2 linked regions of the Diceros bicornis minor genome follow. The protein of the gene in region 1 purifies or fractionates together with the protein of each later gene. This does not show direct contact. Links are inferred from orthologs where the notes say so. Each region holds a gene or a part of one and is shown on either strand. Other genes may lie near its edges.

Region 1 (7,031 bases):
GAAGCCCTGGCCCCGTGCCACATCTACCCCTCCCCACTCCACCTCTCACACTGAGTGGAGCCCACCATCTCAGCTGACGGGGAGGGGAGGCACTAGGCGAACTTAGACCAACTTTAAAGGGCAGGAGTTCGAACAGATATGAGACTTGTCCCCACACCACACAGCTAAAAAGGCCGAGGGCCACTGCTCCATAGATGGGTTACACAGTACAGGGGGCAGTGCCCTAAAATAACCTTTGCCCACTCTCTTCAGGGCAAGGGTTGGTATTCTTTTATGTATTTTTATGTGCCAAGGGCTGTTCTAAGAAGTTTACAAATATTAATTTTCCCAAAAAGTGAGTATACTAGCTCTTTTTCACAGAAGAGGTAACCAAGGCTCAGAGAAGTTAAGTAACTTGCCCAAGGTCACACAGCTCACAAGTGGCACGGCCAGGATTTGAAGCCAGGCCTACTTGCCCTGGGCTCTGTGCTCTGGTGTTGAGCCCTACTTCCTCCCTAATTTTGAGGTTTCTTAACCAGAGAGGCCCAGCAGAACCACTTGGGAAGCTTTTTCAAAATATAGATTGATAGGCCCCTCCCTCCCTAGACCAACTTAACTCAAATAGGAGGAGACTTAAACAAGTGTTTGGCGGTTGCCCAGATGGGCACTCTTGGGGTGCCCGCCAAGAGAGGACACACAGGATGGCTGAAATGGACACTCTGGGTCTCAGTGCCCCATTGGTACCAGGAGAAGCCTGCTTGGGTCTTTATCCGGGAGCTGGATATTCCCTGGCTTCTAGGAGCTGAAGATGGAACCAGAGTCCAGGCAGGGGCCCTCTCTGCTGCCACCACCTCTTCCCTTATGGCTCTCATAGGCTCCCCATCAAAATCTGCTCTGCCGCCCATTATCATAACTCCCAGCTCAGCGGGCACTCTTAGTTTTACAAACACGTAACTGAGAATAGCTTCCTTTGTAGGTCTTTGTGCCTTAGACTTCAACCATATTTTAATCCCCAAGTAAATAGTGAGCACTCGGTAAACACTGTTGAACCAATGGGGTGCTCTTTTTAAGCGGCGTTGGGGGTGCGGGGATCAGCCCAGGGGCAGCGGCGGGAAGGAGAGGCGGGCGAAGCCGCGCTCCGCGGGAAGGCGCGTTTGCTACTCGCGCCGGGGCCGCGAGGGGGCGCTGGCCCCCAGGAAATCACGCGCAGGGTGGGAGGGGTGTGGGCCGAGCCCGGGACAGGGGCCGGGAGTCGTGATGAGTCAGTTTCCTGCAAGGCGCTCCCCGCCCGCCAAAACTGCACTTCCACTCCGGCTGCGCGTCACCCCGGGTGGGGAGGGGGAGAGCGGGAGGGGGCCAGGGGCCGCGAACACGTCACGCTGAGGCAGCCAGGCTTCCGAAACCCCCGCCACTGTTAGGAAACCGCGCGCTCTCGCGCCGTCTCTGTGACACGCACACACGCGCGCACACACACCGCACGCACTCCACCTTATCTCCACACCCAAAGCACGGGATGAGTCAGATCCCTGGAAAATAAAAATAGACCGGAGTAAGGAAAACAAAACCGCTCGAAAGGCCTCCCCGAAACGCGACGTGGAGGGAGGGACGGAGGGAGGGAGCCGCCCGGGCGCCCTAAAGCGCCAAACCCAGTTCCAAGATTCTTTTCCGCGCGAGGAGGGCGCAAGGGTCCCCCGAGGGCCCGGGACAGGGCGGACGCGCTGTGGTCCGCGCTGGGCAGCTGTGTCCCAAGGACCACTCGCCCCCCTGCTCCGCCCAGTCCAGTCTCCCTCGGAGAGGGAATTCTCCACTAGGTTGGGGGCGCCCGGGCCCCCGGATGCAGGCGACAGAGGCCCTGAGCAGCGTCGCGCCCCCTGAAGCCCCACCCCTCAAAGACGCGACCCCACCCCGGCGGGGGCTGCGCGGCCCGCAGCGCCGCAGAACACCGCTCCCGCCCCGAGCCCATCGGCGCGCCCCAAGGGCAGGCTGGGCCGGGGGCTCCAGGCGGCGGGAGCGAGGTGGGGAGGACTCCTGCGCCTCCCGAACTGACCCGCGTGCGCCAGCCCACTCAGCGCGGGGCCGCGGCTCCGGGTCCCCGAGAGTGCGCCGTGGGGCGGGGACCGGACACCCGGTCCTGGATCTCCCGGTGTCTGGGCTTCCCTGGGAACACTCTGTGCCAGCCAAATAGGTCACTGTGTTTATGGGGGGGACAAACCGAGGAGGGGTAGGGAAGGAGACTTCTGCGTCGCCACTGTCCCCCAGCCCGGGCGGGGTTCTGATCTCACTCGGCCCGTTCCCCGGGGTCTCCTTGTCACCGTGAGTCACCCTCTCGCTTGCCCTTAAGGGACGTGTCCTGACACGTTCCCATGGGCCAGGGACACAGCTCGCGCTGACCTCAGCGCCACCGGGTGGCGGACACGGCGGCGTCGAGGACCCAGACCTCAGGGGTTCGGGCCGGGGCGGCACCGATCAGATCCGAGAGCCGCCCGGGAGCGGATCCCAGAGGAACCTGCTCGGGTCGGCGCTCCCCGCCCCTCCCGGGCCCCTCGGCGGACAGGGGTGCATCCTTACGCCGCGAGCGAGCCGCGCGGGGGGCCCGGGGCGCACCCGCCGGGCGGAGAGCTCCTGGGGCGGCGGGTCCACACCTTCCCCCGCCCCAGCTGTGTTTCAAGGGGACGGCAGCGTGGCAGGGGACCTTCATACTGTGCTCCCTCCCCAACACATCCCGACCCCCGTCACACGCGCGCTTACAGACACCCGTGTGCGCAACGCCGAGACCCACGCGCAGACCCACTCACGTCATTCACTTGTGAACACAGCACACACCCCCGGATACACACGTCCCCGCGGACACAACACACGGACATGCAGGGATACACACACGGACACGCTCAGCTCAGCTCAAGCCGCCTCCTGGGTCCGCTCTTGCCCGCCGTGGCTCCCTCACCTCCTCCGAGGGTCTCGGGGTCTCCGTGAATCCGCGCCCGGCTCCGGGTCTCCGAGCTACCGACCGGGGCAGCTGCTCACACCTCCGCTGGCGCCGCCGGGCGCAGCCCATGTAAAAAGGCTCGGCCCTGGAGGCGGGACCGCTGGCTCCACCCCCAGCGCGCCTGGACCGCCTCCCGGGACCCGCGGCTGCTCCCCGGGCCTGGCCGCGCTCCAGCTCCGCGGAGCTCCGAGGCCGACGTCGCGTGCTGCCCGAGCGCGCTCCCTTCCCCGCACCCCCGGCCTGGGTTGTGCGCTTGACACATTTCCCCACGAATTGAGCCACAAATCTGGGTATTTTTAGCTGGGGAGAGAGTTGGCGCTCCCCAGAAGGGGATGGCGTTGTTAGGATGAGCCCCTTTCTGGCCCACTGCGGGCCGACTCTGGGCGAGGATTTACCGAAAGCAGCTGAAAAGACCAGGGGTGACGTTAATAAATGAAAGTCCTTAAATAATAAAAATGATGCGTCTCACTTTGCACTCCCCAGAAAAGCCCCACTCTACCAGCGCTGTTCCCGCGGATCCCTCACTACACCGCCTCTCCCCGAGCACCTGGGGCACCCAGACACCCCAACAGAGCCTCTGGGAGGCCAGAACGGAATTCAATCCCCTTTATTTCACAAACGAAGAAACTGAGGCCCACAGAACTAAAGGGATGCAAAGCTGTTGCTCATCAAATGCCTCGGGGAAGGAGGGAATTGGAGACACTTCCCAGAAAGGGCCCACGTCTCTCCAGGGGAAATCTGACATTGAACTAAGCTCCCCACCCCCTCCTGCTCCCCACACCCACCTCTCTCTCACCTCAACAGAAGAAACCTCTGTGACTGCAGCTGATTTGATGGCAGGAAGGGCAGAAGGATTTGGTGAGTTGTCTCCTGGATATTCCTCACACAGCCCACATTCACTGCTGGGTAAACTGAGGCTCAGAGAAGTTCATTGACCTGGCTCAGGTCACACAGCAAATAAATGGCTGTGGTTGGAACATAGGCCTTTTGCGTCTCACCCAGAGCTCTCTGCCTGTTGCCCCCTCTATTTCAGTGGCTCTAGAAACACGAGAATGGGGAGACACCAGCACCCCTCATTTCCAGGCAGCTTACTGAGGTGACATTGAGGAAGGACAGTTCTGGAAATGTCCACTGGCACTCTTGACCGATACAGAAGCAGGTGAGGTGCCCATCTGCTCCTTCCTACCTCCGCACCCCCCAGCCCTGCTTGCACCTCACCTTTGCCTCCTTCCTTCACCTAAAACATTTGCAGTTTCTGCTTTTAAAAAAATTGCAGAGAACAGAGTGTTAATCTGAACAGAATTCCCACTAAAAAATAGAATCCACGCTTGGAGCAGCTGCAGTTGCTGACACCTAGGGCTGTTCGGCGTCTGGAAATCTCTGCCCGGACATGCCCAGTTTTCTTCCTCTAATGCAGCTGACCTCAGGGAGGACAGGCCTCCTCCTTCACTGCTGGGATGGAGCCAGGGTAGGGGCGGGAGGGCGTGGCACCTGACCCTCTGGCCTGCCTGGTATTGGAGTCAGGCCAGGGTTGTAGCCGGACCTCAGGAGGGCCTCAAACAGGCCAGGACCCCAGGACCAGCCCCCTGCTCCCCAGCTCCTTTCTCCACACCCCCAACACACACACCCACACCACCCGAAGCCTAGGTTGTCAAATGTCCAGCAGGGGACAAGCATCTCCTCCTGCCTTAAATCCCCTTGGCTCTCAGGCATTTCAAATAGACTTGACATTGTCTGCCTGTTTACTCTGGGGAAAAAAATTTTTTAATGAAGGCTTGTATTGAATTACTTAAAGTTTTGTGGTCCTGAGCTTCACAATGAAATAATTCTTTTTGTTGTTGTTGTTGGGAAGTGAGGTTTTTTTTTTTTTTAATAACTTCTAGCTCAACACCACCACCACAACAGAATTCAACAAATATTTATTAGGCACCTACTAAGTGTCTAGTGCTTCAGTACTCAAAAGAAAGTGTCCAACCCTACACCTGAACGTGTAGCTAGGCATGCCCTTAAGGAGGACTTCCGCTCTGAAGAGAGCAAAGGAGAAGGTTGTTAGAAGTCACACTCCCCAAACACACACACACACACACACACACACACACACACACGTGTGCACAGAACAGGTCCCAGGCCAATCTCAAGGGATCTGCTGCAAACCACATATTCCGTTCAGAGAAATTCAGACCAAGCTCTCACAGGGGTCTCTGGGCGTCTTCTGTCTGCTACCACCCTCCTCTCCCCCCAAAGCAGGCAGCCCCAGGGACAAAACAGCCACTGGCCTCTTCTATGTCAGGGCTCAGCATGTTGAGACATGTTCTTGAGGGCCAGAGAGCCAGTCAGGACCACAGCCTGCTGCCCAGGCATGCTCCCCAGGCATGCTCCCCAGGAAGCAAGCAGCTTAGGGACGGAGCGAGGCTCAGCCTGGGGGCGAGAGGGTCCAGATCAGCCCCCACCCAGGAGGCAGGTGATGACGGAAAGGAAAGGTGGAAAGCTGGAGCCTGAAGAAGGAGGATGTGAGGAGGGCTCAGAGGTGTCTGCAGGAGTACCCAGGAAGGGAGAGGAAGTTCTGGGAACAATGTCACCATTTCTCAGAAAAGGCCCGGGGAGTCCCAAACGGGCAGCCAGCTTTCAGAGGAATTTACCTCCACACAGGCCTTCTAAGAAGTGAGACCCCAGAAAAGAGGGAGAACAGAGATATTATTATACTACTGAGCAGAAGAAGCCTTGCTTACTTCTTTTTTTTTTTTTTTTGAGGAAGAAGGAGATTGGGAACCCCCACCCTGACCTTCTGGAGGCTTTACCCAGCCAGTACAAAGATCAGGACTGACCACAGAGTTAGGCAGAGAAATTTGTAACAGAATTTGTGCCACATAAACACTTCTAGCCTCCCTAAGCTAGAAATTTCACCTTGCCTAAGCCTGAAATTTCACCGTTAGAAATTCATTCCTTTGGCATGAATTCTTGCTTCATCAGATAAGATCATGTAGGCAAAGTGCTTAGCATAGTGCCTGGCACATAGAAATCACTCCATGAATACTAGTTATTATTATTGCTCTACAAATGTCCCTGGGGAAGGCATCCCTTGGAATTGAGTAATCATTTATACTTTGGGGTATCTTAGGTAGGTTTCCCAGAAAACACACTCTGCAGTAGAGACTTGCTTGAAGGAGGTTTCTTGGGACTGCATTTGCAATCAGCATCTGTGGGACCATAAAGGAAACAGGATTGGGCAGAGAGAGGAGTTGGGCCGAGATGGAGGCTGGAGGCCCCAGAGAGGCCTCTGTTGAGCCCACAGGGAGCTCTTGAGCTAGGAGTTCCCTGAATGGAAGCAAGGGGGTTGGGCTTTTGTACCCCTGCTTCAACCAGTCTTTTGGATGTGGCTGTCCCTGGAGCAGAGGGGTGCATGAACTTGGGCAAGAGAGCTCCTTTATCTGAGGCTGATTCCTAAAGAAGGGCTCAGCTGAAGCATCAGTGCCAACACTCGCAACAGCCAGTGGGGAGAACGAGTGCCTGGCTCCTGCAGAGGCTTCTGGGTGGCACAGCACAGAGTGAATGAGTTGATCAGATCATTTAGGGACTAGAAGGTGGTGAGGAAATGCTGTGAACACAGGCCACCTGAGGAGTGAAGGGCTCTCTGTACCTTTGCACATATTGTTCACTCTTCTTGGAATCAGTGTTTCTTACCAACCTACCTCATCTCTACTCCTTTCTTCACGTGTTGAACTCCTATTGATCCTTCATGACCCAACCTACGTGACCCCTTGTGGGGAGGCCTTCTCAGGGCTCCCTCTGGCTCCCAGAGCTCCTGGTGAGTAATCCACTCACTGTGCTTCGCTGGCCTGCTGGGTTTACATGCCTGTGGCATCCTCTGAGCTGGGAACTGGTGGGGATAAGCCATATTTTATTCATCTTTGTACCTTCAAGGCCTAGCAGCCTCAGCCGGAGTTCAATCAATATTTATGGAAGGGCCATTTTTGACTTGCACTCTGAGGTTAGGCTTTAGTGCCGCTGCATCTGAGCCCTCTCTCTTATTTATTCATTTGTCTGTTCACTCATTCATGCATTAAAA
Region 2 (7,132 bases), on another chromosome or scaffold:
TCCAGGATTCCACTTCAGTAAAAAAATTGGGTCTCATGCAAAAAATTAAACAACAGAATGGATATGTTAAATGGACTTTAGATAGAAAGGTATTCTTTGCATTAAGAAAGGCCTAAGGTAAGAATCATCCAAGGGTCCATGTGGTCTTGATGAAGCAGTTACATGGAGTTTAGTATGATAGCTACGAGTAGCTCAAAGCTGTTGTACTGGGCTGAACTATGATAACTTCAGAGAAAAAGTCTGGGTAATTAATAGGTAAAAATGTTCTGTTACTCCAAAATTCTAGCTTCATGAGTACACACAGAGAAATGACAAAGACACTCCATAAATAGATGGATAATTTTCAAGCTATCTACTCTACAAAATGTGCAGAAACCTGTTGTCATTAATCTCTGGACAACCATGAAAATGCCTTCTAGCGGGAAACGATACGGCTCTTCACGTGCCACAGCTATCACCTCTCCACAGTCTGGGATAGGGCCACAGCCCTGTCTTAGGCACCTGGGGCACCGCTCAGGTTATCCTGGAGAACAGAAACAACTCTAAAACTCTAAGAAATCAATATGGATGGCTTTGCTTCGTCCTCAGTTGCAAATTTCAATTCAAAGCACAGCTGGGAAAATAAACAATCTTGAATTTCCCAAAGTAGAGATCCATTTTATAATACCCACAAAAATAAACTTGCTTGGCTTAAAGTTTTTTTTTTTTTAAGTGGATGAAAAAAAAAGGAAAGAACTTGGGCTGCACTGTCTTATTTCCTTACCTAAAGTAAAGTATTTCTTCTTTTAACAAAGAAAAAAATCATCAACCCGTTGTTCAATATACAGTGGAACCTCCCCCAAAATGCTAATCACTAGGGTCTTCTGTGCAGTGACAACTGTTAATGCAAACTATGTGGCCCATTGCTTTGAAGCTCTTCACTCTCCCAGACCCAGCTGCTATGGCTGTTGTTCACTGCCCTACAGAGTGACGCGCTGCCCACTGCTAACCTAGTGGGGACCTCTGCCCTCGGCTCAAATACTCTTCCTGCTCAGCTTTTATCTGTGGTAGGGTCAGAAGGCCTGATCAGCTAGCTGGGAGATAGGCTGCTTCCCCTACTAGAGCCATAACTACAGTCTCCAGCCATTTCTGGAGGTAGAGAGATAATACGAGCTTTTTCGGCTAGGAACTTCTGATATTATAATGATATCGTGAGCACGCAGGAGATTTGGCGGGAACTCCATGAAGGAGAAGCAAGAGAAATGGCCTAGTCAATAAAAAAAATGTGTTGAGACTCACATATCATTACACACAATGTTCCACTAACACTCTGGCTGAGGCCAGGTGGAGCCCCAGACAGGGGAGACCACTGCAAGTAATTGCTGGATGGGCTGGAAGAACTTCCAGAAAGAGGGAAGAGTTGGAAAGCTGACCTAAACGGGGGGAAGGTAAAGGGAGGTCCTTAAGCACCAGGACAAACACAAGCGTGGATGGAGGAGAAGGGGACGCTCATGAACACACACGGCCCCCATCATCAGAGTCACCCACAGAGCTCTGGGCCAGGCGCCCTCCTCCTAGCGCACCAGCCTGGGGGTGGCGACGGACTCTGCCCCGGCTGGCACAGGACTCTGGGTTACTTTCGTCCTCTAACCGAGTCTGCTTCCTCAAGGGCAAAGGGGGAGGACTGAGTTATTTGATGTCCATTCTGGTTTCTCCAGACATCAGCACACATTCGTAATATCAGGGGTGCTGGAATCCCGAGGCTGGTAGAGGTCGGTGCCCACTGACAGGCGGTGCTCAGCCCAAGGGGCTGTGGCAGTAGTCAGAGAAGAAGCCTTCAGCAGGAGCAAGTGTACCTCCACAGAGAGCAGAGAGGCCCTCCACCCAGGCCCAGCCAGCAAGTGCACCTACCTGACCGCCACACTGGCTTCTCACCCTCCTGTCAATTTTGGCAATTTCTTCATCTGGATCCTGCAAAAACTATCAGAAAACAACCCCCAGCCCCCAAGGAAACATGCCATACAGCCCAAAGACAGAAACACAGAGAGAGAAGAAAAAGAAAGCTGGTTAGGTTATGGGCACCATTTCTGCCCAACACACCCTCCTTAACCCCCAGCAATAAATATGTGGGCAGAGCCCAGTCCGGTACCCAGGTGAGACGGGGGATTCTCCCCCACCTGTCCCCTTTGTACTCACAACGGCCACATTTGCCTTCCTCTTCCTGGAGCGCACAGAGACATCGGCGCTGCTCTCCTCCTTCATGCTGTCCCGCTCCTTGGCATCTCTGCAGAGCCAGGGTGGCACAGAGGTAAGGGGGAGCCCGCCCCTCGGCCCGCCCCTCCCCCACCGCTGCACACCCTCCCCTCCCGAAGCGGCCGGCGCTCACCTCTCCCTCCTCTCCCGCGGCATGGCGCAGGGCGCGGGATCACACCTCAGGCCTGGGGGCACGAAGCGGGCAGCGGGGTGAGCACGGCCGGCGGAGGGGGTCGGGGCCCGCCGGCCCGCCCAGGACACCCCTCCCCCCCTGCGCGGGCGGCGGCGGCGGGAGCCTCCCGGGCCGGTCGGGAAAATGGCCGATGAGCCCGGGGTGGCCTGTCACCCGCCGCGCCGCCGGCTGCCCGCGATGCCGGGACCGAACCCGGGGTGGGGGCCCACACGCCCCCCGAAACCCCCGCCGGCCCATCGCCTCCCTCGGGGACCGGGCTGCCTCAGTCTCCCCCTCCACAGCTCGCCCTAGCCCGACCCAGAGCCGCCCTGGCCGGGCACCCGCGCTGACGCCCGCGGGGACCCGACGAGCCGGCCTCGCCCCGCCCCCACCCGGCCCGGCGCGGCCCGACCCGGCGCCCCGGGGGTCGCCGCCGCCCCGCCGCCCGCACCGCGGCGGCCCTCACCGAAGCGTCTCCGCGGCAGGTAGGCGGCACGCGCCAGCGGGCGCACAGGCAGGGGCGCGGGAAGCCGGAGGCGGGAGCGGCGGCGAGCGCGCGGCGGTGGCGGGATCCGCGCCTGCCCCCTACACCGCGCGGGCGGCCGAGCCGGCTGCTCCTGCGCCCGGCCGAGAGCGGGACATTTAAAAATCCTGCGCGCGGAACCGGCCCCCGGCCCGCCCTCGCGCCCTCCCGCCACCCTCCGCCCCGCCCCGCCGCCGCCCTCGGGCCCGCCCCGCCGCCGCGCAGGGCAGCCGGGCGCTCGGGCTGCGGGGGCGGGGCCTCGGGCGGGCCCGGTGACAGGGCCTGCGCGCTGGGGGCGGGGCCTGCCGCGGGGGGCGGGGCGGGGCGGGCGCGGGGACGACGGCGCGCGCGGCTTCGGGGCGGGCCGGGCGCCGGGGGCGGGGCCTCGGGGCAAGCCTGGTGACAGGGCCTGCGCGTCGGGGGCGGGGCCTGAGGGACGGGGCGGGGCGGGCGCGGGGAGGACGGCGCGCGCGCGGCCGAGGGGCGGGCCAGGCGCCGGGGGCGGGGCCTCGGGGCGGGCCCGGTGACAGAGTCTGCGCGCCGGGGGCGGGGCCTGCGCGCCGGGGGCGGGGGCGGGTGCGGGAGGACGGGGCACGCGCGGCCGAGGGGCGGGCCGGGCGGCGCTGGAGCGTCTAAAAGCCGCGTGGCCGGGACAAGTGGAATGTAAACACGGCGGTCGGCGAGGGTGTGCGCCCCGTAGGGGTCCTGCTGGCGTGGGCGGGGGGACGGCCCGTGCACCCGCTGTCCGTCGGCCGCGCGCACTGCCAGACCGTGCGCGTTCTGCCTGCCCCCGGATGCAGGGTTCCGGGCCCTCAGTCGGGGCGGGGATGCGCCCAAGGTCACAGCGGCTGGTCACCGGGGTAGAACCAGGGCCTATGGCCGCGGGTCTGGGGTCCTCTGTGGAATAGCGGTTATTCCAGAACGCACGTCCGTCCGTCTGTCCGTGCGGGCAGGCATGCAGTAAGCTAATCGTCGGGCATCTTCTGTGTGCCCCCCGCGCAGACTGCCCGGAACGTCGACCTTCCCGACGCCGGGATTCCACGCAGGCCTCTCCCGCTGAGGCCCTTCCGCGTTCCCCGTCAGCCTCAGGGTCCAGTCCACACTCCCTGCCCAGGCCTACAGGGCTGCACGGGAACCGGCCCTCACCGCTTCAGATCTCCCCTTCAGCCCCCACTCACAGCTCCTCCCCCACCCTCTCTCCTTTCTCACCGCAGGGCCTTGGAGCTTGTCACCTGCTCTGCCCCTTGGGCTGCCCCTCCTTCCCGTCAAGTTCTCCAGGGACCACTTAACCTAGAGCAGCCGCCTCCCCAAGAGTTCGTCTCCACCTCCTCGCCCTGCTGGGGCTCCTTCCCAGCACTTGTCACCATAGTCTCTTGCTCCTCCTTCGTTTCCTTGCCTGGTGTCCCTCTCCCTCCTTGTCAGCCTTGTTCACTGCTATATCCCCTGGCTCTTGGCACAGTGCCTGGAGGAAGGGAGGCACTTAAATCGGATTTGTGAATGAATGCTTGAAAAACATACACTGAGCAAACCCTCGTGGAGCTTGCAGGGCAGTGAGAGAAACAGGTATTCAACAATAGTCACTTGAAAGTACCTTCTGTACTCAACTTCTAGAGGAAACACACAGCTGGAGGGCTCCTAAACACTTCTAAGGCCCTTCCTGATGTACAGTCTTGAGTTTTGCACCCCCCCATGACTCCCAAAGTTCGAGCCTGCGTCTTATTGGAGAGTGTACTTTGTGTCGTCCCCACAAGGTCCCTGCTTGCGGACTGTCAACCTTCCAGGGGCTCTGCGGTCAACGCTGCTGAGATGACTTGCTCAGGTTGGCTTAGGTACACATGGAACCCAGACTCCTGAGCTCCCAGCCCTGTGCCCTTTAGTAATAACAATAACAGGTCTCATAAACAGCATTACAAAACGGCAGCTTTGGGCTGAATCCTTCAAAATGTTATCTCGGTTAAACTTCACACTAATCCTAGGATGTTGATATCATGATGATCCTATTTCATGGATGGCAACTATCTCCTTCCCATGATTATTGTGAGGATAGAGGGAGATAATGCAGATGACTCACTTGGTACAGTGCCTGGCTCATGGAAAATGCTGGATAAATGACAGTTGTTAGAACAATGATAAACAAGACTGAGTTTTCCTTAGTGGTTGTAGTAATTTATACTCCCACCAGCAAAGAATGAAAGTTCTAGATGTTCCATATGCTACCTGACCTGTTCATCAGTAGTACAATGGATAGGTAAATTTTGGTATGGTCATTCAATGGAATACTACACAAGAAGAAAAAGGACAAACCACTGAAACCTGCAGCAACGGGAATGAATGTCACAGACATAGCGGTGGGCACAAGACGCCGGACACAAAAGAGTATTACTGTGCGATTCCAGGTATTTGAAGTTTAAGAAAAGGCAAGACTAGGGTGGCCTCGGTCAGAACAGTGGTTACCTCTGGGGTGGGAGTAATGACTGGACGGGACCAGGGAACCTTCTGAGTACTGCACATGTTTTATGTCTTGATCCGAGTGGTGGTTATGTGGCTGTGTACATACATAAAAATTCATCGAGCTTTACACTTATGTTTTGTGCCCTTTGCTGAGTGCTCTTATACTTCAATAAAAAATGAAAGAATTATTTTTTGAAAAAATAATTGAAAACAAGGAAAAGCAAGACATAATCCCCGCCCACTTGGGAGGTTCTGGGCTGGAAGGGAAGAGGTTGTGTGGACTGGCAGTTGCAGTACAGAGTGATAATGGCTGGGATGGGAAAATTCTGGGGGCCATGACTTCATGTGGAGTTGGGGGGAGGGGGCATCCAACCTACTCTTGCATGCCAAGAAAGCTATATGGAGGAAGCAGCTTGAGGCCGGAAGGATGAATGAATTTGGCAGAGGCAGTGGAAACAGCCTGTACGCAGGCTTGGAGTCTTCAAGAGTCACTGATGGCCACTCGTCTGGGGCAGCTCACCTTTGGCTGTTTGGGTTCATTTCATTCTGTGCCTGCATCAGGCTCAGAGTGCCCAGGCATTGGCTCAGCCTCGAGGGAGACTCTGGATTGGACTAGAGGTGGTAGACCAGCTGCTGTGTAGGGAGGGCAGCATCTTCTCTCCACCATGAGACTTTGGGAGAGTTCCTTAACTATCTGTAAAATGGGGTGATTCTAATTAGTCCAACCTCCAGGGTTGCTGTGAGGAGTAAATGTGTTAATACCCATAATGTATTTGCAATAGTATTTAGGACATAATGCTCAATATGTAGTAATAATGATATCTATCAAGAAATTTGGGGTCATTTGCTTAGCTCCATGTGTGGTTCTGACCCCGACGATGGTGGAGGGGTAAAGACAGGAGCCAGGATACTAGGGGTAAGGAGAAGTAAGCCCATGGGGGTTGCTGGGGGGAAGTCCTTCCCAGACAGGATTCCTCAACCTGGGCCCCCAGACAGCCTTCAGGGGCCCAGGAAACTGCCCGCTGACAGAGCTGGCCCATCGTGTGCCCTTTTCTGGGAGGCTGGGGCACAGCTTTTACAGGACCCTTAAAGGCAGCCAACAGCAAGTTAAGGAGTGCTGCTGTGGTGAGAGTTGGTCAGGGAAGGCAAGGGCTATGGCTGGAGTGAGCTGGCCAAGTGTGGCCGCCTGGCTGAGCTGAAGGAGGGGGCTCTTGTAAGGCTACACATGGGGATACCAGAAGAAGAGGGCCCAACTGGCTCACCAGTGTGAGCGGTGGGGTGCGGCCAGGCACCAGGAGCAGGACACACGCCAGGGAGCTCGAGTGTGGGAAGGCCCCGGAGGCTTGGCTCCTGTCCTCCCACAGCCCTGGAAACCTGTCTGCACAGGCCTGCCAGGTTGGCTGGATTCAAGGGCCCCAATCCGTGCTCCCCAAGGCTTGGTTACCCTTCAGATCAAGCTCACAGTGCCATGGACTCCGAGGTGGGAGACTGGCAAAGCATGGTGGTCCCAGGCCTGGCCTAACCCCTCTTACACTGAGGAGCAGGTCCAGTCAACACTTCTTTAGCCCGAAGGCTGTGATCAGTTAAAGAACTCCAGTGAAAATTAAAATTGACCTTTAAACTCAGTATATGATAGAGCGATGATGGCAGCTGACACTTATGGATTCTGTGCTAAGCTCAGGGTTGCCAGGAACAGAGACTAATTGGAAGACACTTCAAGGAGTCGGGGGTGACAGCCCGGGGGTGGGAAGGCA

Evidence for each region. The genes of interacting proteins can lie anywhere in the genome.
Region 2: the proteins of CDKN1A (region 1) and CCNE1 purify together in Homo sapiens (affinity purification with western blotting; 19 studies listed by BioGRID and IntAct, with this or other methods). This does not show direct contact. The link is inferred for Diceros bicornis minor from reciprocal best matches to the Homo sapiens genes CDKN1A and CCNE1.

Annotation. Positions count from the first base shown.
Region 1 is NC_080753.1:28,264,983-28,272,013, forward strand, and holds the start of CDKN1A (cyclin-dependent kinase inhibitor 1), read right to left. Parts: upstream 3,018-7,031; 5' UTR 2,924-3,017; exon of another isoform or gene 2,858-2,923; intron 1-2,857. UniProt on the Homo sapiens protein: Plays an important role in controlling cell cycle progression and DNA damage-induced G2 arrest. Involved in p53/TP53 mediated inhibition of cellular proliferation in response to DNA damage.
Region 2 is NC_080773.1:3,988,238-3,995,369, reverse strand, and holds the start of CCNE1 (G1/S-specific cyclin-E1), read right to left. Parts: upstream 3,013-7,132; 5' UTR 2,871-3,012; intron 2,418-2,870; 5' UTR 2,389-2,417; coding exon 2,366-2,388; intron 2,264-2,365; coding exon 2,176-2,263; intron 1,960-2,175; coding exon 1,891-1,959; intron 1-1,890. UniProt on the Homo sapiens protein: Essential for the control of the cell cycle at the G1/S (start) transition.